2 linked regions of the Arabidopsis thaliana genome follow. The protein of the gene in region 2 interacts with the protein of the main gene of each other region in a biochemical or structural test. Each region holds a gene or a part of one and is shown on either strand. Other genes may lie near its edges. The genes, in order: RAD5 and PCNA2.

Region 1 (18,688 bases), on a different chromosome or scaffold from region 2:
CTCTTTAGCAATGATAAATGTGTTTAGGAGATGGAATGGTAGTGGTTCAAACCCTTTTGGGAGGAGAAGTATTTCTAAAAGAAAAGGACTAAATAGTGGCGTCGGACCTAGGAAGAATAAGGTCGAAGCCCAAATTCGCAATAAAAGAAAAAAAAAATCTATATACGTATAGTGTTTATCATAACATGCATGAGTGCAGACTGCAGACCAAGTTGCCAGTTTCCATGGATCGGATATTGCCAGTTGCACCCCATACTAGTATTATTTTGAGCGTTCTGATATTTTACTTAGGTTTGTGTATTTTTTGTATGCATTTGAGTATAGAGTTATTTGCTGTTATGATATTTTATCTACCAAAATAATCCTACTTGATTATATACCGTTGTTGAATTGACGAATTTTCAGTACCCATAATGAAAAAAATACAATGTTGAGGAAGTCTTTAATGTCACTGGTTTAAGTACCGACATAATGTTGACGTATTAACATGGAGTGGTCTTTTATGTGAAAAAAAAATCCGAGATTCAATTAAAAGTTAAGACTTCTTGGTTATTCAGAGAAAAACCATGAATATAAAGTTACATTTTCTCTATTCATTTAGAGCGATTTACAACTTTAAAAGATACAAAAAATGCTCGTTCTTTTAATATTGAACAAGTTTTCGAAAGAGTTTAGAAAACAATACAAAAACGTTTCTGTAAAAGAGAAACCAATCTGTTTTTTTTTTTTTTTGAGTGCAACCAATCTAGCTTTACATACATTAAAAATAATATATACATTGAGAATTCGTCTATGATATTTAATGTTTAAGTGAGAGTTATATTTCTATAAATAATAATAAGACATTGCTTTGACTAGAAGGCCTTGCGCTGCCACAACTACGAGCAATTATGAAGGGTTAGGTTCGTCCAAAGTGGTATCATGGTTCGTAATTACATAAGTAGCCTCACTATAGTTACCTTGTGTCTTTTAATCGGACTATTACTCCACTTTTTCAGGTGATGCTTCAACTGTTTTCACGATAAAGTTGTGTCATTAATTTTTTTTGCTTCTTTTATCTCAGAAAAGACATATAACACGAAATTTGTTCGATAGGATGATTTTAAAAGTGGCTCAGCAAGGCAACAATCTCGTGTTTGAGTGATGACTAGGATAAGTTGGTTCTTAAAATTTTCATTTCTTTTCTGTAGATATAATCTTAGAAGTAAGGTCATGTCTACGTTAATTAGCTAAATGATTCTTTAGTTTTATGTATGAAATTTTGGAAATTAGCATGCGTAACTGACTTTCTTTTACATGACTTTTGACCATTTCTAGTTACGCGAATTTAATATTCAACACTACATACTATACTACAAAAATTTAACAGTGTCAGCCATATGCACCATAAAAATTCACCTTACATTATATCTTGATCTTGACCTTTCGACCTTGAATTTGACCAAGCCTTTAAAACCTATAATTTGTTCATGGATATTTTGGTTCGAAGTTACTAACTCCTGGATGTAAAAAGAGGGTTACTAATACTAACTCCTTGATCGGCCATGAAGAAGATAATATTAGGTATATACATATATTTAATTTACACCAACCACCACAATGAGAAAGTACATAGCATTAACATAAATGGTGATGTAGACAAATCTAACATAATTCGTATAGTCTATACAGTTTATAAAGAAACTAATTTGGTCTCTGGTTAAACTTATTGTATACTAGATTGGATTTATTAGGAGTGTAGCGAGTGTTAAATGGGCTAAACCTATTTTGCAAACAGGGTAATACTGTTTGAAAATTCTAATTAATGCTCTAGCGGCCAATGATTGTGGTTTTAGCAAAGATATAGGAGCTTAACATTTCATTTTTTTTCTTAGTTCGAAAAGAAAAAAACTATTAATGAATAATTAGTTTTCATAGAAAGTGGGCGTTAATCCTACTTACTAAATTGATACTTTGATACTGTAAAAAAATGTTTATATATCTTCACTTTAAACTCTAGTGTTACTTTACAGAAACCGGGTATTGAATTATTGATAGTACGTCGTCTATGTGATCAAACTCGTTTTGAGGACATTCCCTCAAAGTTCTACAAAAGCATATTGTGCAAGCCGAAACTTTGGACTTGACTTTTTTAAATGAAATTGATATCGAAAACATATTATCTTTTCCCCGAGATTGAGCCAAATAATGAAATAACTAAAACAAACAATAATCCCCTGCGTTAATCATGTCGAATGTGGATTATCATCACTATTAACTAACTATTCATTGGGGTTTAAAAGTTAATTCATAAGAGATAGACAAAGAAAAGGGAGTCAAAAATCGAAGAAAACAGAAATCGTTATAAGTTTCTGTTTGTTTGTAAAGTAAATAATAATATAGTTCAGTTTATAAAATATCAACTTTTACCTTTTTAACGTTGCAAATGGCAAACCTTCCATAGATTCATGACGATGTGTTAGTTCAAACATAAGCAAATTAACTCCTCTTTTGTGTCCGAAAGCTCCTCAATCTAAGGACATATGTTTGTATGCAGATTGCAGATAATGTTATTTTCTTACTTCAAGAAATTAAGGTTTCTTTGACAAATAAGTGTAATGGCGACATATAACATAGAATATTAATTTTGTCGTCTCGTGTCGACGACATATCGATCTGTTACTTTAAGATTTTCTTCCGATTTAAGCTCATATATATACATATTATTGTCTATATATAAGAATTTAAAATTTACACATAATTTCAAGACAGTTTAAGAAATCGTTTTAACATGCATCCGGTTCATAAATTTTACACAAGTTTAAATTATACTATACAAAATATTACTTGGAAAAAATGTACATTACTGTATATCGTATTATTCGACAACAACCAAAAAAAATCCTAATCTCTCTAGTGGAAAAATCAAATTGACTTCGCTTTTGCTTTCAAGTTGATTTATTTTATTTTTGTTTGTATTAGGACACTATAATAGAATATGTTTGAAAATCTAAACCAATTCATTATTCATCACTATACGTCTTTCCTTTTCCTCCTCCATTCAAGGCCTTGATTAGTGAAAATCTGAACCAATTCATCACTATACGTCTTTTACTTTTCTAGGTGATTTATCCACGCATTAATACTTGGAATTGTTTTGATTAGCCTCACGTAAATTTTAGTTTTCAATGCGGAATAATAAACAAACCTCTCATTTTAGCTATAATATTAGTTTTAGTGTGATCAAGCCACATATAAAACATATTGGATTAGTTTAGTAGTGGTTCAGGTTGATGTTTATTGGATGGGTAAGTTATGACTCAATTACTTGTGTAGTGTACAGATGGTTTTTAGATATTTTAGAGACTAAATAACACTCACATACACGTTGTTACCTAACTTGAGAACAAATCGTTACCCTAGAAGCAGAGAATTTAGCAGCCGATCCATTTGTGTCTGTGGATATTGGTTTTAGTACAATAATTGACACGTTATACGACTTCAAATCAATCACTTCGTAATTTTGTATCGAAGATGACAAAGCCACGGTATCATAAAATTTGCAATAAAAGTCCCTAAAATCTGTTATAAATCAGTATAGTTTCTAACAGTACAAAGTATAAAGACTCCTAATATTTTATCTTAACAAAGGAAAAGAAGATCACAGGAACATGTTATGTAAAAGTGTCACATTTTCTAGATTTTTAAAGTAATCCTTAAGCCTTTTCACTGTGCAAATTTGTCATATTGAGTTAACTATATAATAGTATAAAGTTACAGTTCATTATAAATGAAAAAGTACAAAAAACAATCTGATTTCCATTACAAAACAACAAAACCCAGATAGGCTTATGGTACACTTGGGAACTCTCACTGCACATTCCCCAAAACTGTGACAATTGTCCATCATATCTCTTGAAAAGAACAAAACCCGTTTTTAGATGCGTTATAATCTCTGATTCTCCTTGCATATAGTGTGACAAGTTTCCCATATATGTAGAATTGTATGATCGACTTCAGGCTTGAGAACAGTTTCTATAGTTTCAGGTAAATAACATCTTGAGTTCCTCTATACGTGCACTTCGTACTTCTTGATCGGTTAAAGCCCCAGAGATCATTCTCTGCTTCCTCGCCTGAACCGCCTCCATTCTCTCTTCAACCGTTCCCTAGGATTCACAAAGGCAAGACATACAAGTTTCTAATGATCATTACTCAGCAACAACATTTTCTGATTTTGGAATAGTTTCAGTGATTGGTCTTTATATGGTTAATGGGGACTAACTGCTGAGAAAGAAGAGGGTACCTTAACGATGAATCTTCTGATTTTGACTTCCTTAGTTTGCCCTATACGATGAATACGCATAACAGCTTGTTCCTCTACCGCTGGGTTCCACCATGGATCCTATAGGACATAACTTGGTTTTCTTTACAACTGAAACTTCTTTAAAACCTATTTTGTATTGTGCAGTACTCATTCACAAGCTTTTGAAACAAAAGGTGGCATGAACTACTACTCGATTTTCATATTTTGGATGAGCTATTACATGGTCTAAATCCTATAGAAACTGATATGATCTTTCATAGATATCTATAGATATTCCATACCATGACAAAAGCATTGGACGCAGCTGTTAGATTTATCCCAACGCCACCAGCTTTTAGAGACATCAACAGTACCTATCCAACAATTGAAAAGGAGACTTTTTAACTTCAATTTCGAAACTAGAAAGTATAAGTATTGAACATTGCAATGTAATGCGACTGCACCAACCAGGATACTGCCATCTTCGGAAAATTCTTTAAGGACCTTCTCTCGTTGCTGCTGACTTAGCGTGCCATCAAGACGGACAAATGAAAAGTTATTCCTGGAGATAAAATTGTGCTATAATTTAGATTCTTAAAAACAATTTATTCTCATAACTACCATAGCAAGCCAACAATGGTATACCGAGAGAGGGGAATTTGGAGGAGATCGAGGAAAGCGGTCCACTGGCTAAAGAGAATGCTCTTAGAGCCTGAAGAACGAAGACCTTCAAGCTCTTCCAGAAGAGCAGTGATTTTCGATGATTCCACCCAATTCTTTTCCACGTCAACCTGGAATCTACTTTCGGTTGGTGCTGTGATGAGTTCTTGTTTGCTTACAGTGTTCCTGAAAAAAACGATTCATCATTCATTATTTGCCAAATTAGACCTTACTCAGACACTCATTGGAATCAACAACAGAAGAAAACTAGTAATCGCAGGAACAACTTCAAGATACCTACACACAGGACATAACCCAGAAGTAGAATTTCTCCAACTTGCCAAGAGACACTCACGACATAATCTATGAGCACATGGCGTTAATACAGCATCCTCAAGTGCTTCAAGGCATATTGGACACTCTCCTTGCTCTCCTTTGCGCAGTTCCTCTACCACCTCCTGAACAAAAGCCTCTGACGGTACATCTTTTCCTTCCCTTTCTAAGCCAGAAGACTTTCCACTAAGGAAACGTTTAGAAAGCTTATTCAGATCAGAGTATTCCGCTGTATCCCCTCGACTGGATGCAAGAAAAACAAGAGACTGTTATAAGAAATATGGCAATTGCGTCAACAAAATGTCAAACAGAAACAAGGGCTACGGATGCATGTTTCTTATACCAAATTGCCATTATCTACGATATGTTATTGGATATTTTATACAACGTCATGCAACAGATTAAGTAGCCATGGAAGTTAAACCCAGCAATGTGTATCTATACTAAATAAAAAGCCAGTAAAAGCCACACCTCATTACTAAAAATGGGTGATCACAACATTGTCGAAGACGCAAAAGCAGTTCCAGGATCGAAGCATAGTTATGAAGAACTTTGCCTTGTTCAACAAATTGATCAAATTTGACCTGAAAAAGATCCGTCAGCATCTTCAGTATAAGGCATCTTAATAACTAAAGTTCGAGTAAATAATCCTAAGGAAAACAATACCTTGGATCTTTTAAATAGCGCGTCGTAGAAATCCCTCTCAGACTCCGAAAGTTCACAGTAAATGACCCGTGCATCAGCAGGGGGTAGAACAAGAATCGGCCTAAAATAAACAAACAAGCTTCAAATTAACCGAGGAAACTCAAAGGAAAATATTATGTTTTATAAGCACAGGAAGTTATACAGTAATCTATTATTTGTAGTATTCCTACCTTCCTTCTCGGTCTGTGCTAGACTTTGTTCTCCTAAGCATGATAGGTTTTAAGATAGACTGCACTAGCTTTAACCCTCTCTCATCACCCTCTTCAAATGGCTTTTGGACAAGTTTATTCCACCTAAGAATAAAATATGTTCCAAATTAAAAAGCTTCAAGTAATTCCATACCAAACGTTATGTGTTTCCAACCAAAGATAGATAAGGACCCTTACCATGCCCAAGTTCCCCATGGTTCAATCCTCAAAAACCGTAGAAGGCTGTATAAATCCTCCAGATTGTTCTGTCAATAAGATAACATGTGAAATGATCACAAAGTTCCAAATAGGACAAAAAATTACTATTCACCATCCATTTGAATGAACCAAGATATCATGCCAGCAGACATATGGATACCAAAATTGCAAGCCATATGAAATAAATCTTCAAAGACAACTTTGTGAGATAAAGTCGAGACTTGTGTACAATAAATCATGCACAACAAGTTGATATCCTTCTAACAGAGATTTAGACCATTCGAAACTCAGGTGAATAACAAATGTCCAACTACTAAAATTCTTCCATAGATAGAATGGCAGTGTCCTAATAAAGTTTGGTCTATAGGACGGTCAAGAACAAAGATTTTCTTTCTAAACCCTAGACAAAAAGACCAATCACCTGAATAGGAGTACCCGTAAGACACCAACGCCTATCAGCAACCAGAGCTGCAGCAGCCAAGGAAATTTGGCTTTTTGAGTTTTTGATGGTATGTGCCTCGTCAAGAACAATCCTAAACCATCGAACTGCATAAATTCCTTCATGGTCTGCTGAGTTCTAAGAAGAAGAAAAACGAGAGAAGATAAGAAAATGTTCATGTGATGCTTTTATAAACTATATACATGGAATAATCCATGACCCGAAGACTCTTGTATGAAAGATACCTCTTGCGAGAATTCGGATGTTAGAACTCCATATGTGGTGATTACCACATCACTCTGGGAAAGAAGTTTTGCATCCTTCGGCCTGCTTTGCCCATAGTGAACATAGACAGATAGAGACCCAGGCTTTGCATGCATTTCAATCTCTGTCTGATCATAAAGCAGGAGCAAGAAAATATTAGCTGACACAAGGAAAGACAAAGAACAATTAACAACTTTGACGGATAACCAAACTATAGTGTGCACGTGCATTAAGCATGGAATACCTTCCACTGTCCTAAAAGTGTCATCGGACATACAATCAGGTTACCACCATTTTGAAGTACACTTTTTTGTTCAAGAAGCCTCTTATCAAAGCCTAGAAATTTGGTTGCCTTCACCGGGGGACTAGTGAGATCATCTACAGAACTGCTGATCACTTTGTCTCCTTCATAGTTGGGGCATAGAAACCCAGTTGATGCAGCTTTCCAAGAATGGGCAAGCAAAAGGGATATGGTCATTACAGTCTTTCCAAGACCCATTGCGTCTGCTAATATCTACAAAAGTTTTAGGATATAATATTATTACAAAACAGCTATATAATAAAGTGACAAAATCTAAACAATAAATGAAAGAAATTTTTATAGGTGGGGTATTGAGATCATACTCCTCCTCTTGCCATTTGAAGTGTGCTAGGGAAGTGTATTGTAGCATCACCAGTAAAAGAATTCAGGTAGACAACCAGTTCCCTCCTATTGACATAAAACAGATAGTAAATATCTTATCTGACTCGCACTAAAGTTCGAAGGCAATAGAAATATCACTCACTTGTCTGCTAAACAGTATGCTTCCCAACACGGGTGAAGCATTGTTGCTGCCTCATCAGTGCAATTTCCTTTCTCCAGTTGGGTCATCCAATGAAGTGCCTGCTTTTGGTATGGACGAAGCTCACACAGAAGTGTATGTGGAGTTTCCATTTCCTGTTGCAAAAATTTTCATGCAATTTTCCAAAGGAAATTTCCAGTGTTGGATATAAGTAAGCAAGAAGTCTTGAAAATGAGAATACCTTTAATCCAGAACTGTCCCCAACACCAACAATGTTATCAAGATCACCATCGCTGATACACTGCTCATTTTCATCTCCGTTTGCATCTTGATTCATATTCTTGACCTTGTTTAATTGAAGCAACGAAGTAGGAATAGCAGAACCATCCTATTTCCATAGGGCAGAGAGCAAATGACAAATTTTACAGGCAAGAAGTCAAATTTTAAGATGCTAATATAATAAGTAATATTTACCTTGGAACTCAAAGGTCGCTTCTTAGAGTAAAAATCCTCTGGAGTAAACTCTGCCTAAATATGATGAAGAATGGAAAAATTTCTTCGTCATCTCAAGATTATTCAGTCACATCATATGAGAAGTATATGGGAACTACAAACTGCAATCTATAAAAGAATCCGCATATCAAGTTATAGGCAAGGAATAACCATTACCTTCTTAAAGGGGATCAAACCGAGTAACCGAAAGAGATTTGGGAGAGGATGGAACATTGATTCCTCTGCCGTATTACTAGCTGTCTTAAATGAAGTCGCACTATGCTTTTGAAACATGGAACTATTAATGTACACGCTGTTTCAAAAACAAACTCACACCACTTCAAACACTAATGCATCTATCCTGAAATTGTAAACGGGAACACAAAAGTTTTGTATGCATACCTTACAGACAGAAGAATTGTATCCATGATGCTCAAAGCTTCAGGCGCCGACTTGCAACTGCCTTCTATCCTAATTTTCTTGTCTCTCACAAGTGGTAGAAGACACCGAGCCCACTCGTTTGGTATTCTACCAATCTACCACAAGAGCCCATCATAGTTAGTTAACAATTCCCATCTAACAAACTTAACATAGCAAATAAAAAAGATGTGAAACACACCTCTCCTGAATCCTTTGTAGAGAACCTAACGATATCAGAAGCACCACGCAAAGCTGGCCTTCCCCGCCCAAAACCGCGCTTCCCAGGCGTAGTCTCAGGCTTTAATCCTTTACTATGCGGAAACGTGAACACCAATTCATCACCAGACTTCAATTTCCTTCCTTTACATGTCGATAACCCAGCCAATTCAGAACAACCAACAAACCACCACTCATTCCCTGAAACACTCTCTTCTCCTCCACCATTAACACTCTCATTTTCTTCCTCCACGCGATGATTCGCTCCAACACTTCCGCTGTCACCAAAAGTACAGCCCTTTAATCCACTATCAACTCGCTTCCCTCCATTAGAGCCGCTCGGGGTAGGAGTGGCTACATCAGGTTTGGCGAAACTTGGAGTGTCGAAGATTATATTGATAGCAGCCGTTGGATCATGATTCGCCATGTGTAAAGCCCTGATTATATCCATATCTGAGTAATCGGAACCCACGACTGATCTGACGGTGGAAACAAGATCGTCTGAGACTTTCGTTCCCATTTCCAAAACCCTAATCCTACAATTTTCCAGGGAAATTTTGAAACTTTACTGAAAATTCAGTGAGCTTGTGGCTAAAGAACGCCGGAAAAAGAAAACCCCAATGTAGTACAGTGGCGAATTATAGAAATTGAAGTAGATCGACGACGACGGCGTACGAAATCTGCCGGACCCGAGAAACGCGCGTAAATTAGCGACGAGTCTCTCAAATTCCCGCCATTATATTGTTTTTTTTATTCAAGTGATGAAAATAGAAAGGTAAATTCAAAAACGGTGACGTTTTAAAATCCCTAACGGGTCTAGATCCGGGTAACCCGCATCCCGAGTTGAACTCAGTTTAACAATTAGACCACAAAAATCTGCCATTAACTCAGAAGTGAGAAGTGTAGTAGAACCATTCGACACGATTGAAAAAGCTCATCTTTTTTATTTCTATGTCTCTCTCTTTTGGTTACGTAAGCTCTCTGTCCATATGCTTCATTGATGGTGGTGGTTATCAAAATCTAGCAAGGTTTTAGCTTCAATTCTGTCCATATGTTTATCCATTTCCAAGCTCAGACGTGAAAAGATTTCAGATTTATCGCTGGATCACGGCTTTGATTTCTTTTGCTTCAGCTTTGAATTTGATTTCTTTTGCTTCAGATTTATCGGTGGATCTTAGATTTTGATGTGGGTATATGGTTCGATTTTATAAAAAGAAGTTAGATTTTTGGAATCATAGAAAGGGATAAACGAGAATTGAAATCTGGGGATTGATTTGGATCTGATGGAAGGAAAGGTGGCTAAACCTAGAGGTAGACCAAGGAAACGCCCCAGACCAGAGGATCTTAATGGGGTATCTAATCGAGGGAAGAGGCCGGTTTTCGAGGTGAAAGTGGCTGTACCTAGATCTCTTCTTGGTCGTTATGTGTTGAAAGATGTTGATGACAGTGGAGTTTTTCTTGGGAAGATAGTTTCTTACAATACTGGGTTGTACAGAGTTGAATATGAGGATGGTGATTTTGAGGATTTGGAAACTTGTTATCTTCGCCAGTTAATTATTGGGGATAGTTACTTTGATGATGAATTACGTGCTAGAAGGAGTAAATTAGACGACTTTATTCTGAAGAAGGACGAAAAGAAGAAAACAGATTGCCTGAAGAACAAAGGAGTTGAGGTGCCCACATGTAATAGCCCAAGTTCTGTGGCAGAAGTTGAAAGTGGTTATTCATCTTGTGGTTTGCCTGAGTGTGAAGATGACATAGATCCAGATTTCGAAAGTATGTCTCCTCTTGTTCCACCAGTGGAGTTGCCTTCTTCATCAGGAACAATTGGTATCCCTGAGGAGGCTGTGGTGTATCTATTATCTGTATATGGGTTCTTAAGATCATTCAGTGTTCAGTTATATATCTGCCCATTTGGATTGGATGATTTTGTGGGAGCTTTAAATTTTTTAGGACCTAATTCTTTGTTGGATGCCGTTCATGTTGCCTTGATGCGGGCACTGAAAGGTCATCTTGAGAGACTCTCCTCAGAAGGGTCTGAAGTGGCTTCAAAATGCTTGAGGTAAGCACATACAACTCTTGTCATTTACAGTTTTCAACAGATATTTCTTTGTTTCTTCTTGGAGATGTTTCTAGTTAACTTTCATATATTCCGAGTTATTTCTGTGAAACAGTAAAATTAATTTGTTGGATATCTGAATTTCAAGGAAGCAGAACTGCTGACATTATTTTTCAAGCTAGTAAAAATATACATTGTTATCTTATGTATGCATACATGCAACAAACCTTTTATAACAGCTGGGAGAAAAAGGCCTATGGCTGTACAGGGACTGCAATATAAGCCTCTTATTCATAGTTTAGGTGAAACTTGTTTTAGGTCTCCCATTATCCCATATTTTAGTGGATAACAATTCGGGGGTTTTGTTGCATTGCCATCTGCAGGTGCATTGATTGGAGCTTGCTCGATGCGCTAACTTGGCCTGTTTATTTGGTTCAGTACTTTGCTGCCATGGGACATGCAAGTGGGCCTCTCTGGAGATTTTTTAATGAATTTGTTGTGGAGAAAGAATATTGCTCGTCACCTGTAGTAATGAAGTTGAAGATCCTGCAAATTCTGTGTGATGACGTCTTTGATGTAGCAGATTTAAGAGCTGAAATTGATAACAGAGAAGAATCTGAAGTTGGATTTGATACTGATGGAGTAACTGCTGAACTTCCTGAAAATGGACCTAGAAGGGTCCACCCCAGATTTGCTAAAACCTCAGCTTCCAAGGAGAAAGAGCTTAGTGAATTTGTTGCAGTGAACCATGGGATAAGTTCATTGAGCGACTCAAAAAATTGGAGTTCAAGATACACTGATGGTGGTCCTAATGGAGATAGCCCAGATCTGGATGCAAACAGTGATGAATGTAGGCTCTGTGGCATGGATGGAACGTTGCTGTGTTGTGATGGATGCCCTTTAGCATATCATTCAAGATGCATTGGTGTGGTCAAAATGTATATACCAGATGGGCCGTGGTATTGTCCAGAATGCACTATAAAAAAAATGGGGCCAACTGTTGTTTATAAAACGTCACTCAGGGGAGCAGTGTATTTTGGAGTGGATCCACATGGGCGACTCTTTTTGGGTACATGCAATCTCTTACTGGTGTATGTTTTCGACGCCTTATTTCATTTCAGATACTTTGCTTTTCAAATTTATGGAAATAGAGTTGATCTCTCAGTTCTATATCTCACGGAAAGTTGTTTTTGCACTTTATACTTTAATAATTCTCACTCATCAGCTTGTCTAGATTTTACTTATATTGCATGTATTATTTTTTGTGTGGATGCTGATGAATATTTCGCTTATATCACAGGCTTAAAATTAATGTCCATGCGGATGCAGATATCAAATATTACAATGTCACCGACATTCCAAAAGTTGTCCTGGTACTTTTGTCTGCAACGAACCATAGACTGGAATATCTGTATATATGCAAAGCGATCTCACAATACTGGGATCTGCCTGGAGGTGTGATCTCTTATCTGAGAACAGTGGAGACTGATTTATCTCACATGCAAAAAGAAGGGGGCGACGAGGTGTCTGACATAGGTGAGCCAGATAGTGCAAATAGTTCCAGTGGAAATCTTATTCAAAATGCGGTTAGGCTCCACCCATCTGCCTCAGGCTATACTGGTGGTCCTGTTTTAGCAAGATCAAGTGGAGCGCAAGAGAAGAATTTGGTTGCAGTCAGTACACAGAAGGGTTTATCATTTAAACCTCATTCTTACATTAATCATTACACAAATGGAGAATTGGCTGCATCAGCTGCTGCTACTTTGGCTATCCTAATGTCAGAGGAAACCCATGAACCTGATCTACACAAATTTAGTAATGCCAAGAAAGCTGCATCAAGTAACATCTTGCTACAGATGAAAGCATTTTCGATAGTAGCCTCGAGTTTCTTCTGGCCAAGTCCTGATAAGAAGGAAATTACCAGAGAAAGGTGTGGATGGTGTCATTCTTGCAAACTCACATCAGCAAGTAGGAGAGGATGCATGTTAAATGCAGCTGTAACAGGGGCCACCAAGAGTGCTATGAAAATCTACAGTGGCCTTTTTCCTCTAAAGAACGGGGAGGGGGTACTTTCTAGGATCGCAGCATATGCCCTATATCTCGAGGAAAGCTTACGTGGTCTCATTGCGGGGCCATTTCTTAGTGAGAGTCTTAGGTACCAGTGGCGTAAGAAGTTAGAGGAAGCTTCAACATGCAAAGCGATGAAAGCCCTCCTGCTTGAAGTAAGTAAAACTTTTTCATTCTAAAACTGTTCGGTTCTTATTCACGTTTTTTTGCTATTAAAAATAATTGTACTTTTTCTTGTCATTTGCACTGTTCAGATTTGATGTTGTCAACTATATATAGTGATATCTTTGGTTTGTCACTATATGTATCGTGTTTTCATTGGCATGATATGGTTCATTTTGCTTGTTCACAGCTTGAGGAAAATATTTGCAGTATTGCTCTGTCAAGCGACTGGCTTAAACTAATGGACGATTGGTTGATAGAACTTTCTATCTTTCAAAGCGCTCCAGTTACTGTTGGGGCCACACAGAAACGTAGACCTGGTAGGAGGAAGCAGAGGAACCAGGCTGAAAATACGGCCCAAGGTTCTGATGATGATAGCTTTACTTGGTGGCGAGGGGGGAAGTTATCAAAAATTATACTCCTCAAGGCAGTCTTGTCGAAGCCTAAGATAAAGAAAGCAGCTTGGCAAGGTAAACCTGATTGGTTATGCTTTTTGCGCTTGTGAACAATTCTCACGTATGCATTCTTATAGTTTTTTCTTTTTTGATACTTCGACCGGAGATATCTTATTTGAGTTTTACTCTGGGGATAGTGCTAATTTGTTTTGTTTTTTTTATTCCATTAGGTGGTACGAAAAAGTTTCCTGAATTTAATTATGGTGATGGTTCTTACATTCCTAAAAGAAGCAGGCGGTCTATTTGGAAAGCCGCAGTTGAAAGTAGCAAAAACATTTCTCAGCTTGCTCTTCAGGTTTGTCTTCTATTATCAATGCTTATTCAAATGATTCTGTGTATATGATTGTTTTTTAATCCCCTGAAATTCAACTGAATTGGGGCCAGGTTAGATACCTGGATATGAATATAAGATGGAGTGAACTTGTACGCCCAGAGCAAAACGTGCAAGATGTTAAAGGTCCAGAGACAGAGGCCACTATTTTCAGGAACGCTAGTATTTGTGTCAAGAAGATTATAGATAACAAGGTTAGATACGGAGTTGTCTTTGGGAATCAAAAGCATCTTCCATCCCGTGTCATGAAGAATGTCATTGAAGTCGAGAAATCTGAAGATAGAAACGAAAAGTATTGGTTTCATGAAGCACGCGTTCCCTTATATTTGATCAAAGAATATGAAGAAAGTTTGCATAGGGTGGTACACATACCTTTTATCAAGAAGCCATCAAGAAAAATATCAAAGCTCCAGAAAAGGCAACTAAAAGCTTCTCGAGCAAACATATTTTCTTATCTAGCCTCTCGGAGGGACAACACGGAGAAGTGTTCTTGTGCATCATGCCATCTCGATGTTTTTTTGAGGTATTATTTTAGCTTTCTTCACCTTTCAAGATGCTTCTTAAAAAATCTGATGTAGCTCATTTATTTGTGTTCCCGTCCTCTACATGTCTATAGGGATTCAATAACATGCAGTACTTGCCAAGGTACACTACACTCGCTTGCTGATGGATTTGACAACATGGCAATATTACGTTTGCTTATTTGGGAATTTATCTGAATAATTGTGGATTTACTCTTTGCCTCTCAGGTTTCTGTCACAAGGAATGTACTATGAGTTCACAACACACAACTGGGCAGTTGGAAATTTTGGTAACCTGCAAACGGTGCTACCTTGCAAGAGCACGTTCACAAATCAATATCAATCACAGACAACCAACAACACCCAGTGTCCTGATCAACGGTCAACTTCAAAATGCAGCCACTTCAAACACGAAGACACAGATTAAGCGTCTTAATCAACAGTTACCATCTTCCAAAACAGGCGACAATGCTTCAGGAGTTAAACAAATCACTCCGGATTTCAATTTGGCACCGAAAAGTAAACACAAGACATTGTCTTGGGGAGTCATATGGAGGAAAAAGAACTTGGCAGACACAGGTGTTAGTTTCAGACATGAAAATGTTATGTTGGCTGGACGATCTGATCAGCCGAATCTGCAACCAGTTTGCTGGATCTGCAAATTGCCGTATAATCCTGGCCTAACATATATTCACTGTACAAGTTGTGACAGTAAGAAAATTTTTACTCACTCTAAATTCTATACTGAATTGTACATTTCGTCAATGCCACCATTTTGCTCTTATAATTCTAATCCTAGATCTCTATGCAGTGTGGTACCACATCGAAGCGGTCAAGCTCGAGGAGTCAAAAATTCCTGAAGTGGTTGGGTTCAAGTGTTGCAGATGTCGTCGTATACGATCACCAGATTGCCCTTACATGGATCCCAAACTCAAGGAACAGAAGCAGATGAAACAAGTATTCTTCAGGAGGCAGAAGCATGGGCAAGGAAATACCGGAATTGATTCGGATTCCGAAAGAATGTCTGAACCGAAAGACTCGTTGCCCTCTACTCCCTCATTTCTCTCTGAAGATACGTTTGTTCCAGAGGATGATCCTCTCTTGGTGTCAGTTTCAAAAGTCGAACAAATTACACCAAATAGTTTGGATGTGGAATGGAACGAGGATGGTTGTGTGCCAGGACCACAGAAGCTACAAGTGAGGAGACCAGTAAAACGTGAAGACACGGACGGGAATAATAATCTTTCTTATACCGAGTTTACAATGCATCCCGAATCAATGCCTGTTGTGAAACCAGAAATGGAGCCAACATTTCCTGTCATGGAATGGGATGCATCTGGCAATAGCAACAACATGAATGAAGGCGAGCTTATGTTTGACTACGAAGACATGGAATTCGAACCTCAAACATATTTCTCGCTGACCGAGTTGCTCACAACAGATGATAGTGGCCAGTGCGATGGATATGGAGATGACAAGGATGCTTCAGGAATCACGGATAACCCAAACCCTCAGGTTGAGGCAATGGAACAGTGCACGTCATTTCTCTATGAAAATACAATTCCATGTCAGATATGCAAGCATGTGGAGCCAGGACCTGACCTCACATGTCAGACTTGTAATATGACAATACATTCTCACTGTTCTCCATGGGAGGAGGAATCTACGTGCATAGGAGGTAGCTGGAGATGTGGTCGTTGCCGTGAGTGGCTGTAGCTGCCAACTTTTCTCCTGCCAAAGTTAAGGGGTTCCTCTCAATTCTTTTTTGTTTTTATAGGCTAGGCCCCATCTGTGCTGCTATGTTGGGGTTTTCAATGAAAGCAAAGAATATGTGTTGTCGATAGAAGAAGTAAAATTAAATTTGTATGAAGAATAATTTGATGTTCTCATTGCAATGGCAGAAGATAAGCTCGTTTTGTTCTTGTTGCTGCATAAGGAGTGTCTGAATTCCTTTAATGCGCTTTTTGCTTGGGATTGAGATTATATATTTATTCCTTGCGTCTTCTGTGTCTTTTGCAAAACCAAGTGTTGCGTGTGCATGCTGAGTCAGGTGAAAACATTAACATATATGAGATACAGCAACCAACAGCATCAATCACCGTAAGCATCCATAGATAGAGAATTGATGGTGATGATGAATAGATAGATATACCTTGAGTGAGGCGCGAATTCGCTGAATGCAAGTTGTAAGAATCAATGAATAAGCCGGCAAAAATTACAAGAACGACAAAGGTTTGCAAAAATAATAACCTGAGTTTCAGAGTCAGGTAAGGGTAGGTTATCAGAATTATCACTTTGAAGCTCCTTGGCCTGCTTAATCTGCAATCGCCATTGCATATCCTTATAGAAATTGTTAGTCCACAGTCCAAACATTCATTGGACGAATGGGGCGGGAAAGAGCATGACCACGGATAGTTAGATGGCAAAGCCTCCAAAACACTTCCGGGACGGTGTGTAAACCCTTGACCACGATTTAGACTTGTGAGATTTGAGAGAATTATTTTAGATTTTAGAAATTAGAAACTTAAAAAAATTGAGATGTTTTTTAATATAACCTAAAATGTTACACCGTGGGTAAAATCTAGTATGAAAAAAAAAAAGTTGCGTGTTCTGTTAATATTGTTTGTTTTGTTAATAATAATGTTTACTATTTTTAAAATTGAGATCTTGAATGGACATGTTACATTCTTAAGTTTTTGCAGATGTTTCTTGTTTCTATTTTTGCCGTTTTCTTCTTTTTACACTCAACCGGTCGATCTATAAATTTTCAAATCTACTGTGGCAAGTGAAGCGGTTGTGTAACTTTTCCAGTTTTCTCCACTCGTGTTCAAGACCAAATCTATTCGAGATCCTATTAGTTTTTGCTTTCTCCCAATTGGATCTTCGTTGAGTATATTTCGGCGAATAACTAATGGTTCCAAAATCTCAAGAAAGGAGTAAGAAAGTCTAAGAAGTCTAACAAGTCAAGACAATTATGATCTCAAAAAAGAACTAATGAATAGGAGTAATGACAAATTAGTAAAAATTTAAATTATTGCGGTTTTAGTTTAGATTTTCGAGTGTGCTCTAAAACTGTCTCCTTTGTTAGGGCTATTTTCTCTTGTATTTTCGAGTGTGCTCTTAAACTGACCCTTTTTGCCGTTTTAGTTTCCGAACTTATTATAATTTTTAGCAGACATGTAATTTTACCAATTTCTAATGACTCAAAATTAATTAACCAGTTGCTAATTTTATATCTATAAAAAATACAACAGGTCTGAATATAAATAATATCAGTGAACATTTGACATCATCAAATTTGATAGTGAAAAATGCTAAAGAAGAACAGGTTCAGACAATGAAAGCGGTCATGCCTCATCTGCTGCACATTTACAAACAATTGCATGGATTTTACCGGTTTTTTGAAATAAAATTGTGATTTCCGAAATCATTATAAGAGATTGATTTCATCTCTAGAATATATCACCTCAAATTAGTTCAGGTTTTTACAAGTGAAATGCTATGCGTTTGGGATGTGTTTTTGCAATTTCCCCCCGTTATGACTTAGATTAGACTCTCTCAACACGAAGGCTGGCGCAAAAAAAGACCCCATCAGATAAAATAATTCATCGAGAAACATATTGAAAATATACAGGCACAAGAACACGCTGATACAACCCCTGATGACCTCACAATACAAATGTTCAGAATGAATGCAAAATTTCATAATTAACTCAACTCGCCCGCTTTGGATATAATCATAACTAGCTTTCCTATTAAACCCTTCCCCTCTCCACCCCCCTTGGCTCTACATTTACTCTCCCATCATTCCATATTTTCTCCATTACATTCTACAATAACCGAAAAAAACAAACTTTTCGACATGTGCAAGTAAGTAAATCTCTTACCCCAATGAATTTAAAGTAAGCCAGCGAGCATAGCTCCTGGATCATCAGCTAAAGCCGCTGGGCTTGGCGGTTGAGCTACAGGTGGTGCTGGACCTGCTGCTGGAACTAAAGCTCGAGATCCCATTGGGACAGTAATTAGTTGTTCCTTGATAAATTCTTTCAACCTGTGGATAAAAGAGGTCAACAAATGCAAAAAAAAAAAAAAA
Region 2 (14,843 bases):
GATATCTTTCGTTGGATGAGTTTGGTCCATTAAGTTCGCCATTATATTGTGATTGTGAAACTTGAGAGTTCGATTAAATGTTGGTTTACATTCATGTTATGTTGTTAGAGATTCTCATTGTATTCAATGAATGTCACATTATCTTATCTTTGAGGTTGATGGAGTTGATATGCTGGTGTGTAGACAATGATGATTATGTCAATAACCAGTACTGTTTTCAATTCTGCAGTCCCAGAGTAACCGTGGCTGCATACACCATCCCACATCCTTCCCTTGAACAGGTCAATATCCGGGTCCAGACAACAGGTACTGTTTTTCAAAAACTCTGTTCATCAGAGTTAAGCTATGTTCTTTTTGGATAACTCTTATCCGAGTTCTTTGTCTGTGTGTCTAACAACATAAAACGTGTTGGCTCTGTGGCTTTTAGGTGATCCAGCAAGAGAGGTTTTTAAAGATGCATGTCAAGAGCTCATGCAAATGAACAGACATGTGAGAAGCGTTTTTGATAAGGCTGTTGCTGAGTATAAGGATGAACAAAAGCGTAAGGAGGAGGCTGAAGAAGAAGAGCTTAAGAGGCAGAGGGATCTATTTGGGTCCATGGACATTGAAAACAACTGATAACCATTGTATTCTCCTATGGAGTTTATACTATTTTTATCTTAAATCCAGATTCGTCCTTCAAATTGACTCGTCAAATTCATAATCCACACCAAAATTTAACCAAGAAGATTCTTATATTGCTTATAACCATTGTCACTACTACTCTGCTTCTTATATTTGAAAGATGGTGAAGTCTTCACCGAATTCACATAGTCAAAATTAACAAAAGGTTATATAATGAAACAAAGAAAAAAAATACTATGGATGGATTTTGATTTAGCAAAATAGATTGTTTGAATATTGATTGATAAATCCTCTTAGCCTACGCAGAGTATCATAACTACTAATAACGCAAGCGATAGTTACAGAAACTATAAGAACTTAATAGAAGAGAGTTTTAAAAGTAAACAGCAACTGGAAGTTGAGGTGTTCTTATCATCTGTTTCTTCAATAAGTTTCTTCTTGCTCGTACTCAGCTTCTTCCTCTTCATATTCTCCTTCTTCATCAGCCGTTGCATCTTGATACTGCTGATACTCAGAGACAAGATCGTTCATGTTGCTTTCAGCTTCAGTGAACTCCATCTCATCCATACCTTCACCTGTGTACCAATGCAAGAAAGCCTTTCTCCTGAACATAGCAGTGAATTGCTCACTGACACGCCTGAACATCTCTTGGATCGAAGTTGAGTTACCAATGAACGTTGAAGCCATCTTCAGACCAGTAGGGGGAATGTCACAGACGGTTGATTTGACGTTGTTAGGGATCCATTCCACAAAGTAGGAGGAGTTCTTGTTCTGTACGTTCAGCATCTGTTCATCGACCTCCTTGGTGCTCATCTTTCCACGGAACATGGCTGAAGCAGTGAGGTAGCGACCGTGTCTTGGGTCAGCAGCACACATCATGTTCTTAGCATCCCACATTTGCTGAGTGAGCTCTGGGACAGTGAGGTTACGGTACTGCTGAGATCCACGAGAGGTGAGAGGAGCAAATCCCACCATGAAGAAGTGGAGACGAGGGAATGGGATCAGATTCACAGCTAGCTTTCGCAGATCAGAGTTCAGTTGACCAGGGAACCTAAGACAGCAGGTTACACCAGACATGGTTGCAGAGATCAAGTGGTTCAGATCACCAACTGCACAATTCAGAAAACAAACAAAAAAATATGTGAGTGAAGTTTCAATACTAATCAATAACTAAGCCTGAAACAATAAACCACAGAGACAGATACAGTAACAACATTGACTCATAATCGAAGAACATTGGAATACTTACAACTTGGAGTGCTAAGCTTGAGTGTACGGAAGCAAATGTCATACAAAGCTTCGTTGTCAAGAACCATACACTCATCAGCGTTCTCAACAAGCTGGTGCACAGATAGTGTTGCGTTGTAAGGCTCCACAACAGTGTCAGACACCTTAGGCGATGGGAACACAGAGAAAGTCATCATCATACGGTCTGGGTACTCCTCCCTGATCTTAGATATCAACAAAGTTCCCATTCCAGAACCAGTTCCTCCTCCCAAGGAATGGCACACCTGAAATCCTGTAAATCCAAACAACCAAAACCATAAGCAAACAACGAATACAAAACCGAATCCGTATTCCACAGTTCAAAATCAGAAATCTAAACCTAAAAACAATCATACACTACCAATACCCAACCTAAATTTACAGATCCAAAAACCTAAATAGACAAAAACCTAAATAAGGAAGACGGATTTCAAATACCTTGAAGGCAGTCACAGTTCTCAGCCTCTTTGCGAACAACATCAAGGACCGAATCAATAAGCTCAGCACCTTCAGTGTAGTGACCTTTAGCCCAGTTATTCCCAGCACCGGACTGACCGAAGACGAAGTTATCCGGTCGAAAGATCTGACCGTACGGACCAGATCTGACACTGTCCATGGTTCCAGGCTCCAAATCCATGAGAACAGCGCGAGGAACGTACCTTCCACAACTCGCCTCGTTGTAGTATACATTAACCCTCTCAAGCTGTAACTCGGAATCTCCTACATACCGTCCCGTCTGATCAATCCCGTGCTCGAGATTAACCACTTCCCAAAACTTGGAACCGATTTGGTTTCCGCATTGACCTCCTTGAATATGAAGAATCTCACGCATCTTCGCTCACAGAGAAGAAAACCCTAAAACTGGATCTAAAAAGAGAGAGAGAGAGAGAGATTTTGAAAAAGGGAAAGGAGAAGCAGAGAGGATCTTTTGTTTTATGAGAGAGAGAAGAAGAGGAGGGTCCATTTATAAAGAAAAGGAGGTTTTAACGGCTAATATTTGGTAATTCGAAATCGAATCGACGGTTTAGATAATGCCACGTAAATCGAGGTGGCAACGGGTGGCAAAATTCAAAAATTAATGGCTCGTGATAAAAAGTTTTTTTGAATTTCGTAAAAAAATATGTTCGTGTGAATGACAGCTGGATTCCATTAAGGAGAGCAGTTACTAAAACATCGTCGCACTCGCACGTGCTTTATGAGAGATAAAAAAGCGGTTCCAACCTGGCAATCGCACGTGAGAGACTTCTTATTGGGCCTAAAATGGGCTTTTACTCTTTTCATTTCAAATCTGCATGACTTAAAACGGAGTGATGTGCACTAGCAAAATCCTCAGACGGCAAGCATGTGTTTGTAAAGTGAAACTCATCGTTTTAATGATTGAATATGCTTATTGGATCCTGAACCGGAGCCTGAACCGGAGCGTGAACCAAAAAATACAGTCAATCGGAAAATGAATTTCAGATTCAAACTTGTTCATCGAAATTTTGCTTGAAGATTCGAATCGAGAAGTCCGTGGAAGAGGAAGAAGAAGAAGATGTCTGTGCAAGAGTATTTAGACAAGCATATGCTTTCTCGGAAAATCGAAGACGCCGTTAATGCCGCCGTAAGGGCTAAAACCTCAGATCCCGTTCTCTTCATCGTAAGTTTCCTTCGAATTTTGATTTACATGTATCGAAGTGAAATTATGTTACATTACTCATTGAATCTTCAATTGGAAAAGTGCAGGCTAATCATCTGAAGAAAGCTGTATCATCTGTGATAACGAAGGTTAAAGCACGACAGATCCTTGACAGCAGAGGAATTCCAACAGTTGAAGTTGATCTGCACACGAACAAAGGCGTTTTTCGTGCTTCTGTTCCCAGTGGTGATTCTTCTGGAACGTGAGAATTATTCTTACTCTGATTGATATACAATTCTCTAATATGATAAGCCTGACATGAGGAGATTGGTTTACTGATTCTCAAGGTATGAAGCTATTGAGCTACGTGATGGAGACAAAGGAATGTATCTTGGAAACAGTGTGGCTAAAGCTGTTAAGAACATAAATGAAAAAATTTCTGAGGCGTTGATTGGTATGGACCCAAAACTTCAGGGTCAGATAGATCAGGCTATGATAGATTTGGATAAAACTGAAAAGAAGGTAGGTGGGAACTTTTATTAGGATTGTAACAAGTTCATATATCATTGCTCCTCATGATTAATTTGATTTGAATATCTTGCAGAGTGAACTTGGTGCTAATGCTATACTTGCTGTGTCAATTGCGGCATGCAAGGCTGGAGCTGCTGAGAAAGAGGTATGAATGATAACATTTTCTCTTATCCTATGTATTTTATGCCTACTTTAGTTAGGAGATTTTGATTGAAGTTATTATCAGGTCCCTTTGTGCAAGCATCTTTCTGATCTTAGTGGCAGAGCAAACATGGTGTTACCTGTACCTGCGTTCACTGTTTTGAGTGGTGGGAAGCATGCTTCGAATACTTTTGCCATTCAGGTATTCTACATTAAGTTCACTATTAACGTTTCTGTTTCTCAAAGTTCTTCAAGAAATCTTTTGGTTTTCAAGTAATTTCATTTACATATGTAATGATTGTTGTGTTTTCATAATTTGTTTAGGAAATTATGATTCTCCCAATTGGAGCAAGTAGATTTGAGGAGGCCCTGCAATGGGGATCTGAGACATATCATCATTTAAAGGTCAATTTTCAAAGATATATGGCTTTCTAGAAGTTACCTTTCTAATTGCATCCGTAAATTTGTGTATAAGGTGAGAATGATCTATTGCTGTTTATGGCAGGCTGTCATTTCAGAAAAGAATGGTGGTTTGGGATGTAATGTTGGTGAAGATGGTGGTCTTGCTCCAGATATCTCGAGGTACATATATTTTTCCTCTCTGATGCTAATCTGCTTGCATCTGTAGATTGTCGAAACTGAGAAAACCATGTTATGGTTTGATGGCTTAGTGCCTAATATGTGTAATTGCAACTGTATGCAGCCTCAAGGAAGGTTTGGAGCTTGTAAAAGAAGCTATCAACCGAACAGGGTACAATGATAAGATAAAGATAGCCATTGATATTGCCGCCACTAATTTTTGTTTAGGTAATTTTCTGCTTCCTGGCTAACTGATTTTTTGCGGCTTCTTGTAGTCATGGATAGTCTTGGTTTGGTTCTCGGCATTGTCATTCACAATTGGCTAGTGAGACGAATAAGATGTTAAATCATCAAATGTGTAGCCTATCAATATCTTGCTCTTGCAAGTTTCAACTATGTTATACGTTTTTGTGTATTATTTCTTACCTTGTGGAACTGTTCTTTCCTGAACAGGTACCAAGTATGATTTAGATATCAAGTCTCCAAATAAATCTGGGCAAAATTTCAAGTCAGCGGAAGATATGATAGATATGTACAAAGAAATTTGTAATGGTATGTCTGGCTCGTCTGAACAATATTTTTTGTGTCTATCTTAGTACTCTTGCAGTATTGTAACGACCAGATTCTCTGTTTGGTCTCCTTGTGGGTTTAGATTATCCAATTGTGTCTATAGAAGACCCTTTTGACAAGGAGGACTGGGAACACACCAAGTATTTTTCGAGTCTTGGAATATGTCAGGTCCAACTCGGTTCCCCTACTATTAACGGTTCACATAGATTTTGTGTTCTTTCAGATCACACTGTCTTCTGATTCTTTTCTCAGAGTCAAATATCTAAAGAGAGAGACCCTTAAATCTTCTTGTACAATCATTTTCCTTGTCTAAATTCTCAGTGTTAAACTCTTGTAGGTGGTAGGTGACGATTTGTTGATGTCAAATTCAAAACGAGTTGAGCGTGCCATACAGGAGTCTTCTTGTAATGCTCTTCTTCTCAAGGTATTTCGTCCGTCCTATTTTGTTTATTACTATGTATTACCTGTGCACATATTGTATGTTTACTGCCTAAGAACGACAAAGACATAATGTGCATACGGTGATACAGGTGAATCAGATTGGTACAGTAACAGAAGCCATTGAAGTAGTGAAAATGGCAAGGGATGCCCAGTGGGGTGTGGTGACATCTCATAGATGTGGAGAAACAGAGGACTCTTTCATCTCTGACTTATCTGTGGGTCTCGCAACAGGTGTGATTAAAGCTGGTGCTCCTTGCAGAGGAGAACGTACTATGAAGTATAACCAGGTCTGGATCTTTTTCCAAACTAATATCCTCAGTACCCCTTATGCAATTACACTAGAACAATCTACATTACGTGGAGTAACCTGCATTGGAATTTTGGATCATAGCTCTTTCATCAGATTATCATCAGCTTCTTTTTAGCTTTTAAGTAGCTGAGTTATGTTGTGGTATGTGAATCTTTAGCAACCTAGGCTAAGTTTCAGTTTCTTCAACTTTTGGCTAATGCAGCCTCAGCTTATAGATCCATAATGATTGAGTTTGGAGCAGCCATGTACATTTAGTTGCTAGATAGTGTTCTCATTTCATTGTAGAAACTACTTTATTAAAAAGCTGAATCACTGTTGAAATGTTCCTGCAGTTGCTACGGATAGAGGAAGAGCTTGGGGATCAAGCAGTGTATGCTGGAGAAGATTGGAAGCTATCTCTCTAAACAAAATGCACATGTGATATTAATTGTTACACTTCTCGTCTTACTTCATTGTTCTCGAGTCTATTTCTCACGCAGACAAATTCTTGTGTCTTGAAAGTTCAAATTTTTTGTTGTTTTTGCCAAATTTAAGAACAAACAGAAGTAAAGAGTGTTAAACATGTTTTTTACAAATTGTAAAAGCATCCAAAAACATCAATCAACACTAGTTCGTGAGGTTGCAGAAGCCACAAACAAACGTGTTTTAGGGCTTCGTGTCTTCTTTTTCTTCAATGTTTAACAAACAGATGAAAAGTGTTATAAACAAGCTTTTCCAAATTTCAGAAAGACAAACATCATACGATTATCTAGTTTAGCATTGCCTTAAGATAGTAAATCCAGAAAACAACTGAATCAAGACAGACATTTCAACAAAGGACTCGAACGAAGACTATCAAACATTCATCATTATTCTGGTTTGGTGTCTTCTTCTTCTTCAATCTTAGGCGCCAGATAGTATCGAATGTAACCCATCTCAGCCACCTTGTACTCCACCACGACCGGTAACTCAGAGGACAAACTGATGGTCACAGTTTCCGACAATGGAGTAGCCTTTGTGAAGGAGTTCATGTACCTCAATGCAAATGAAAGCGAAACAGGCTCGTTCATCTCTATCACAATAGCATCTTCAGGCTGCAAAACACACATACAAACATAAGGTCACTTCAACATTGTATTGGACAGATTATTAAACAAATCTCTCTAGATGACTAGTGATTGTTCATACTTTGTCGACGGTAGTATTCTGCCTGAGCACAATGTTTGCTGTCCCGATATCACCTGCTGTTGAAAACTTCACCCCTTCTTTTGTTACCGAGATCACAACTGCAAAATCATAACATCAAAACCAGAATCATGATTAGAGAATCCTCGCAGTGATACACCAAATAAACAAACAGTTCATTTACCTGTGTCACCAATGCTACTGAGATCTTTGCATATCCTGGAAAATTCACCAGAAGGCATTCTCACAATCGAGTGGTACTCAGCATCAGGAATTCCTAAATGCTCACTGTCGATATCCATCAGCTTCATCTCAAAATCTGCAATCTTGTCTTGTGCTGCATCATCAACACCATTTAAATAATGAGATTAACACCACATAGTCAATATCAAACAAAGTTCCTCTGTTAACTTTCACTAAATCAAGAAACTCTATTCACTTTCAAACTATAGTCTTTAAGCTAGAGACTATACCTATTCTGAAAACAAAAATGGAAGGACTCATTCTCATCAAGCAAGTTCTAGTTTCTGTCAAATGAAACCTATAAATAACAGTTCAGATCACTAATAACATCATTAACTACACAAAAACAAAGCCATATCAAACCTTATTCCAAACCAAAAACCCTCTATTAACATAGATTTTATCTTCTCTTTCATCTCTTACAAACTAAAGCTTTCAAGAAATGGACTGAATCATTCTCTACAATCATATTCTAGCTTCTGGCAAATCAAACCTATAAACACAGAATCAGGTCACCAATAGCATCAACATTGACAACAAAACCAAAGCCCTAACAAACAAAAATCGATTTGAAGAACTTACTGGGACTCTCAAACATGAAAGTAACAGTGTCGCTACCATCATCAGCTTTGATGGTGATGATATCATCATTTCCAGCACATTTCAGCATCTTAGACATATTACCAAGATTCATTCCCATAGAGAGGTTCCTATCGCATCTATAGTGCTCGAAACCTTCAGATCTAAGCAAAAGAGACACCAACGCGACATGGCTCGAATCCATAGCTTGAAGCGAGAACCCTGTGGTCGAACAGTCGAAGTTCGCATCGTTCACCAGATCTTTGACCGCTTCTAGAACCTTCTTCAGTAGAGAACCTTGAACTAAACGAAGCTCCAACATCTTCTGGGAAATTATCGAAAGGTTAGAGTGTGAATCGAAACGGTTAGGGTTTTTAGAGCTGTTGAAATTTCTGGGAGGAGATTGCAATTGTTAGCGGGAAGTGATATTATAAGCTGAGATTTTGTGGCGCCATTTAGCGATTTTAGGGTATTTTTGTTCCCGCCTGTGTGTGACGATGAATTATCATCTGTGTGAGTCCGTATTGTTTATTTCAGTACACCACCATCACTTTAAGCTTTCTTATTTCATGGGTTTAAATTGGGCCAAACAAACATTCGGCCCAACAGCAGCTGTAATATTAAAGATTCCCGAAAAAATCGAAACGAGAGCAAATCTGCTCTTCAAGGTAATCTTCGTGTTCGAGACTGAAGAAGAAATCCAGAAATCATTGAGGAAGGAAGAGAATTAGGAAATGGCGCATAGAATACTGAGAGATCACGAGGCTGATGGATGGGAACGTTCTGATTTCCCAATCATCTGTGAGTCTTGTCTCGGTGACAATCCTTACGTGAGAATGGTATATTCTTCGCTTCCTATGTTTCTCCTCAAACAAATTCGATTTCCTTGCCTTTAGCTAGATTTTTTTTTAACATTCATGTGTCTTTATTAAGATCTCCTTTCATTTGTCCATTTTCGAGCTTGTTTAATGCTTTTATGTTTCTTAGTGTTGAAGCTGCAATTTTAGTGATTTGAGATTTTAGGGTTTAAGCGATTTAATATACAATTCATAACCTTTGGTAAAAATCAGAATTCATGGAGTTGTAGTTCAAAATGATATCTTTGGTTTGTTCTGATCAAATTTGCTTAGAGGGAATGTAATTCATTGAATACTGTCTCATGTTATGTCTGGTAGTGATGTGCAGCTTCATGTTTGATTGATTGATTGATTTATTGTTGTTGTTTGGTATGTAGACAAAGGCGAATTACGATAAAGAGTGTAAGATCTGTACCCGGCCTTTCACGGTTTTCAGATGGCGACCTGGTAGGGATGCGAGATACAAGAAGACTGAAGTTTGTCAGACATGTTGCAAGTTGAAGAATGTGTGCCAAGTTTGTCTCTTGGATCTTGAGTATGGTCTTCCAGTTCAGGTCAGAGACACGGCGCTCAACATTAGTACTCATGATTCTATCCCAAAAAGTGATGTGAACCGAGAGTTTTTCGCTGAAGAGCATGATCGAAAGGTATGGTGACTCTGCGTTCTAACTAGTTATATTATTTGAGTATTGATTGGTTTGAGATTTGGCTATACAGTTTCTCTACTTTGTAATGGCCTATTGAAATGGTTTTGTTTTCTTGTGTAGACGAGAGCTGGACTAGATTATGAGTCTTCTTTTGGGAAGATTCGGCCCAACGATACCATTCGTATGCTTCAAAGGACAACGCCTTACTACAAAAGGAACCGAGCTCATATTTGTAGTTTCTTCATTAGGGGAGAGTGTACAAGAGGTGATGAGTGTCCATACCGTCATGAGATGCCTGAAACAGGAGAGTTATCCCAGCAGAACATTAAAGACCGTTATTATGGGTAAGCATACTTCTAACTTTCATTTTGTTTGAGTATGATAATATTGAGTTACTCCTCAATTTCTTGCTTTGGTATATCATGAAAGAGAGTTATGAAAAATACATCAGTTTGTGTGCGTAAACTGGCTGTTATTTTGGTGATATTGGAACTGTTTTCTCATCTTATTCTTCACTTCCTGCAGTGTAAACGATCCAGTTGCGTTGAAGTTACTTGGCAAGGCTGGGGAGATGGGTACTTTGGAATCTCCAGAGGATCAAAGCATCAGAACGCTTTATGTTGGTGGGCTAAACTCGAGAGTCCTTGAGCAAGACATTCGTGATCAATTCTACGCCCATGGAGAAATCGAATCCATCAGAATCTTGGCTGAGAAAGCATGTGCGTTTGTCACTTACACAACCCGAGAAGGAGCAGAGAAAGCTGCAGAAGAGCTCAGTAACAGGCTAGTTGTCAACGGTCAGAGGCTAAAACTCACATGGGGAAGACCTCAGGTTCCCAAACCTGATCAAGATGGTTCTAACCAACAGGGCAGTGTGGCTCATAGTGGTTTACTACCTCGAGCAGTTATATCTCAGCAACAGAATCAACCTCCACCAATGCTACAATACTATATGCACCCACCACCACCACAACCTCCTCATCAAGACAGACCATTTTACCCATCAATGGACCCTCAGAGAATGGGTGCAGTTAGTTCGTCCAAAGAAAGCGGTTCAAGCACCAGTGACAACAGAGGAGCTTCTTCTTCTTCTTACACTATGCCACCACATGGCCACTATCCTCAGCACCAGCCATACCCGCCACCATCATATGGAGGATATATGCAACCACCTTACCAGCAGTATCCTCCTTACCACCATGGCCATTCACAACAAGCTGATCATGATTACCCACAACAACCAGGTCCCGGTTCAAGGCCTAATCCTCCACATCCAAGTTCAGTCTCTGCTCCACCACCTGACTCTGTGTCTGCAGCACCTTCAGGATCCTCTCAGCAATCTGCTGATGCTGCTGTTACTACTGGTTCGTCTCAATAGGAACCGTTGTCAGTTAAAATGTAGTGCGAATTTCCGGCCATATCTACATTTTGACTTTTTGCTTCTGCTATTTAAAATTAGTTTCCAATGTAAGAGAAGAGAATTGTTACAGTAGTTGTAGACTCTTGTTGACATTATAATTTTGAATTTTTGATAATCCAACATACACATTAAATCCAAGCTGAAACCATAGACAACAAAATTCTCTTGAAGCTTCTTCAAATTCCTCTTTAAACAGCTTTCAATGTTGTATAGATGAGACATATCATACCATCCTCATCAACATAACTATCACAGTTACTGAATGGTTTGATCTTTATAAGCTATGTACCAAGGTTTTAGATTCACAACCAGAAAGAACAAAGGACCTAACCAAATTTACCTAACCATAATCTTATTATTGAAAACAGACATTACAGTGATACAAGACTTAAAAGTTGGACTCAGAGCTTACTAGCTTGTCTACCAAACATAGAATGTCGACCTTCCGCTATAATCTCCCCGGTCATCTTGTTTCTGACTACAACGATTGTTCCTTTATAACCTCCTCTCTCTCCTAACAATCTCGACGTTATCTCCAACTCCTCCTGAAAATTCATTTCCATTTCAATATCATATCTCTCAATCCATTTCTATAGCAAACAAACAGTCCCAAAGTACAGATTGAAAAAAGACTTGAGCAGACTTACACCAAGCTTAGCTTTTGAAAGGAATGCAATAGACATGTCCACTGAAACACTCATAGGTAAGCCTTCGCCATGTACAAGTGCTCCACCAACTTCATCCACAAGATTTGCAATCGCACCATTTGCTAAATTCTTGTCTCTGTCCTGACATTATCAAAACATTAAAATATCAACATCGTCTCCAATAAAAGAAAAAAACGACACAATCAAGTTCAAGCATCTTCTAGATTCTGCTCAAGTTTCCAAAGACTAATAGTATCACCGAGAACTATCATCTTCAAACATCTGACAATAATGCCATTAAACCTCAAATTAGCTTATTTCCAAAAACCTATCACGCTAATTCGACAATTAATCAAAATAGAAGGGGCTTAGAGGATTGAGAGAAAGACTTACCGTCAAACGAAGAGGAACCTTGAAAGAGCAGGAAATGAAACCCGGTTCGACTCGGTTGACTCGGATTCCTCTGAGACTAAAATTCTCGTAGAAGCTTTTCCCTTCACCTAAAAATTCTTCAACTCGCGGTGCCTCACCGTCGTCAACCACCTCATCGCTCAATTGCAGATACTCCATAATTTTCTCCATCATCGTCTTTCTAATTTCTTTCAATTCTTATTTTATTTTTATTTTTTGGATAAATAAATAAATTACTCAATTCATATTTCAGATACTTTATGGGCCTTAAAGGCCCCATTTTAGCAAATCGTTACGCCGTCGTTCTCTGTACTATAAATACGAGCATTTTTTTCAACTATCAAATTCATTCTCACTTTCAGTTAGATAATTCGTTGCTGCTAACGTCACACTCACACGGCGATGGCTTCTATCTCTGAAACTTCCGACGACGGCTCTAACGGCGGCGATCCAAACCAGAAACCCGAAGAACCTCACAAGAACCCGCAAGAAGGTAAAGAAGAAGAGAATCAAAACGAGAAACCGAAAGAAGACGATCATCAAGAAGAAGAAGTAGAGAATGTTCCTCAGATTCCTCCACAAATGCCACTAGAACTAATCGTAAGCACCATCGCGACTCTCCGGAGATGTCATTACCCGACGCTATCTCTCCTCTCTGACTCCTTTCGTCAAGTAATCTCTTCGGTGGATCTCTTCCAAACTCGCTCGCTCATCGGCTCGACGGAACCGGTTCTTTATACCTTGATCACGTTCACGTCCCCAAATTTTGAAGAACCAAGATGGTTTATTCTCCAACGGAGAAACAATACCTCTTTACAATTGAGCTTAGTCACATCTCTTCCTCCCATGTTTCCTGGATGCACTACCGTCACAATCGGACACAAGATTTACGTTATGGGTGGACTCAGAAGCTTGAATCGACGCGCAAAGACTGTGTTTGTCATCGACTGCAGATTCCATACGTGGCGCTATCTCCAGGAGATGCAAGTGGCTCGTTCCTACGCAGCTTCTGCAGTGATTGACGGAATGATTTACGTGGTGGGAGGTTCCACTAAACGAAGTGATGATTGGGTCGAAGTGTTCAATGTAGAGACTAATACTTGGGAAAATGTGCCTAGTGTATTATCCCCCTATGGTCGTTCGAAAGCACCGTTTAATGTTCATTTCGTTTTGGATAATAAGATTTACATTTTGGATGGTAACAATCGTGTGGCTTACGATCTAAGAGGACGTAGATGGGAAGATTGGGGACCTGCAGGAAATCAATTGGGGTATTTCTGGCAGGTGTTGTATTGTGTGGTTGATAATTTGTTGTATGCCGTTGTTCCGGATCACCTTCATGTAACTCCCATTGTCGTGTATGATCCAAGAGAAATGGGTTGGAGACCTGTCATGGGTGTTGATTACTTGCCTAACCTCGTTTATAGTGAGTCTAGAATGACGAATTTTGGTGGGAAGTTGATGATTTTGGGATGTTATCAAAGCCAGGCTAGGTTTGATTATTACGGGGAAGTAAATGTTTGGTGCGTAGAGGTGGCGTTGGAGAGACGTGAAGATGGTGAAATTTGGGGGAAGGTCCAATCACTCTCGCTTGTGAATAAATTCCGCAAGTCGCCTGTCTTTGTGCTTTCTCGAACTGTTACGGTTTGATGATTCGTTTGCAGTTGCAAGGTATGTTAATTAATCTTTGATGAGTGATGATGATGTTTCAGACGTTTTCTTGAGCCTCAAGTCTGATGTAGGTTTACATGAACTTGCAGGTGAAGGATCTTTTCTTACACCTTATTGATATGAAGCAAAAGTGGTGCAGAAGCTCTATATCTGACAACTTATGGAGTAACTCGTCTTTCTTTACCTTTGTGCAAAAATGTGAATACTCTTAAAAGAATTAGCCTTGTGTAGAGTTGGCCACTCTTTTAGCTTTTCGATACAAAAGTTCTTATGAGACTTGTTGAAATGCATCTTTAGTCTTTTGGGGTTTTTGCAGAAACATGGTCTCAACTTCTTCCTGTTTGCTTTTAGATATATAACTCTTGTGTAAGTAAGCTGATTAATCTACACTTTACACTAACTAATGAACCTAATCTGCCTCTACTATATGAGCAACATTATGAAATATTGGTTTAGATATGAAGTAAACAGAGTGATTAAGTAACAGATGGTTTTGATTTTGTGGGTAACTGTCTACGATATATGAAAGTGTGGAAATACAAAGTCCTGATCAAGGCTGAAGTTATCTATATAGAACGTATACCAAAAAAAAAACACCTCTGTTCTCATTTTTAAAAGACTCACTATGCTTTTAGCCGTTTAAGTATACGAGCAATATAAAAGCAAGACAAATTGGTTCCTCAATTTGGTGACCTTATCATTTGAGCGACAAATTAGGGTTTCTAAATAGAGAACAACGAGACTTGTGTTTCACGTCCAACGACATTTAACAAAAAGACAAAAAAGCTAATCTAGAGCAAATCACTAAGCTCCTCTCTCTGATATCGCTCCCTCTTTCAGAGACCATGTCATTCATGTTGCCTTTTGGAGACCATGCTGGTTTTGAGCCATTGTTAGTGTGCTAACACATAAGTGAAAAGAGAGACGAAGTAAGATAAGAGATGACAAAAGAAATTTGTAGTGTTGGAAAGGGGTGTTGCTACTTACCACTATCTGAATGGTTTGAAGCTTCAGATTGAACAGGTATTCGATTCAGTGGATCTCCTTGTGTCTGCATTGCTTCTTGTTCCTGATGATGTTGTTGCTGCGGTATTACTCCTTGCAGCTCGTTGCTGTTTGCTCGA

What was found.
Region 1: of the proteins of PCNA2 (region 2) and RAD5, one has a biochemical effect on the other in vitro, tested with the Arabidopsis thaliana proteins (one study listed by BioGRID).

What each region holds. Positions count from the first base shown.
Region 1 is NC_003076.8:7,561,352-7,580,039, forward strand, and holds RAD5 (DNA/RNA helicase protein), read right to left. Parts: upstream 9,759-18,688; 5' UTR 9,521-9,758; coding exon 8,984-9,520; intron 8,901-8,983; coding exon 8,767-8,900; intron 8,678-8,766; coding exon 8,542-8,677; intron 8,401-8,541; coding exon 8,347-8,400; intron 8,261-8,346; coding exon 8,114-8,260; intron 8,028-8,113; coding exon 7,876-8,027; intron 7,800-7,875; coding exon 7,715-7,799; intron 7,605-7,714; coding exon 7,335-7,604; intron 7,219-7,334; coding exon 7,072-7,218; intron 6,965-7,071; coding exon 6,809-6,964; intron 6,435-6,808; coding exon 6,367-6,434; intron 6,274-6,366; coding exon 6,151-6,273; intron 6,042-6,150; coding exon 5,942-6,041; intron 5,860-5,941; coding exon 5,747-5,859; intron 5,519-5,746; coding exon 5,240-5,518; intron 5,129-5,239; coding exon 4,928-5,128; intron 4,845-4,927; coding exon 4,751-4,844; intron 4,657-4,750; coding exon 4,585-4,656; intron 4,382-4,584; coding exon 4,283-4,381; intron 4,146-4,282; and 3 more. Other genes in the region: AT5G22760 (PHD finger family protein), read left to right, coding at 10,284-11,062, 11,443-12,150, 12,360-13,281, 13,479-13,758, 13,914-14,038, 14,128-14,597, 14,691-14,719, 14,824-15,306 and 1 more; AT5G22765 (uncharacterized protein), read right to left, coding at 16,451-16,636, 16,748-16,768, 16,846-16,932; alpha-ADR (alpha-adaptin), read right to left, coding at 18,493-18,646. UniProt on the Arabidopsis thaliana protein: Functions in error-free postreplication DNA repair or DNA-damage tolerance (DTT) pathway. Required for homologous recombination (HR) induced by DNA double-strand break (DSB) in somatic cells.
Region 2 is NC_003071.7:12,643,211-12,658,053, forward strand, and holds PCNA2 (proliferating cell nuclear antigen 2), read right to left. Parts: upstream 8,544-14,843; 5' UTR 8,389-8,543; coding exon 8,070-8,388; intron 7,582-8,069; coding exon 7,429-7,581; intron 7,346-7,428; coding exon 7,248-7,345; intron 7,154-7,247; coding exon 6,929-7,153; 3' UTR 6,696-6,928; downstream 1-6,695. Other genes in the region: RPC14 (RNApolymerase 14 kDa subunit), read left to right, coding at 78-306, 428-618; TUB7 (tubulin beta-7 chain), read right to left, coding at 1,048-1,733, 1,874-2,143, 2,329-2,722; ENOC (cytosolic enolase), read left to right, coding at 3,425-3,529, 3,616-3,770, 3,856-4,030, 4,113-4,184, 4,266-4,382, 4,505-4,585, 4,686-4,762, 4,884-4,987 and 5 more; MAC5B (CCCH-type zinc fingerfamily protein with RNA-binding domain-containing protein), read left to right, coding at 8,801-8,905, 9,301-9,570, 9,691-9,914, 10,096-10,948; AT2G29590 (Thioesterase superfamily protein), read right to left, coding at 11,392-11,535, 11,638-11,778, 12,031-12,222; AT2G29600 (Galactose oxidase/kelch repeat superfamily protein), read left to right, coding at 12,451-13,698; AT2G29605 (Plant protein 1589 of unknown function), read right to left, coding at 14,699-14,843. UniProt on the Arabidopsis thaliana protein: This protein is an auxiliary protein of DNA polymerase delta and is involved in the control of eukaryotic DNA replication by increasing the polymerase's processibility during elongation of the leading strand. May be involved in UV resistance.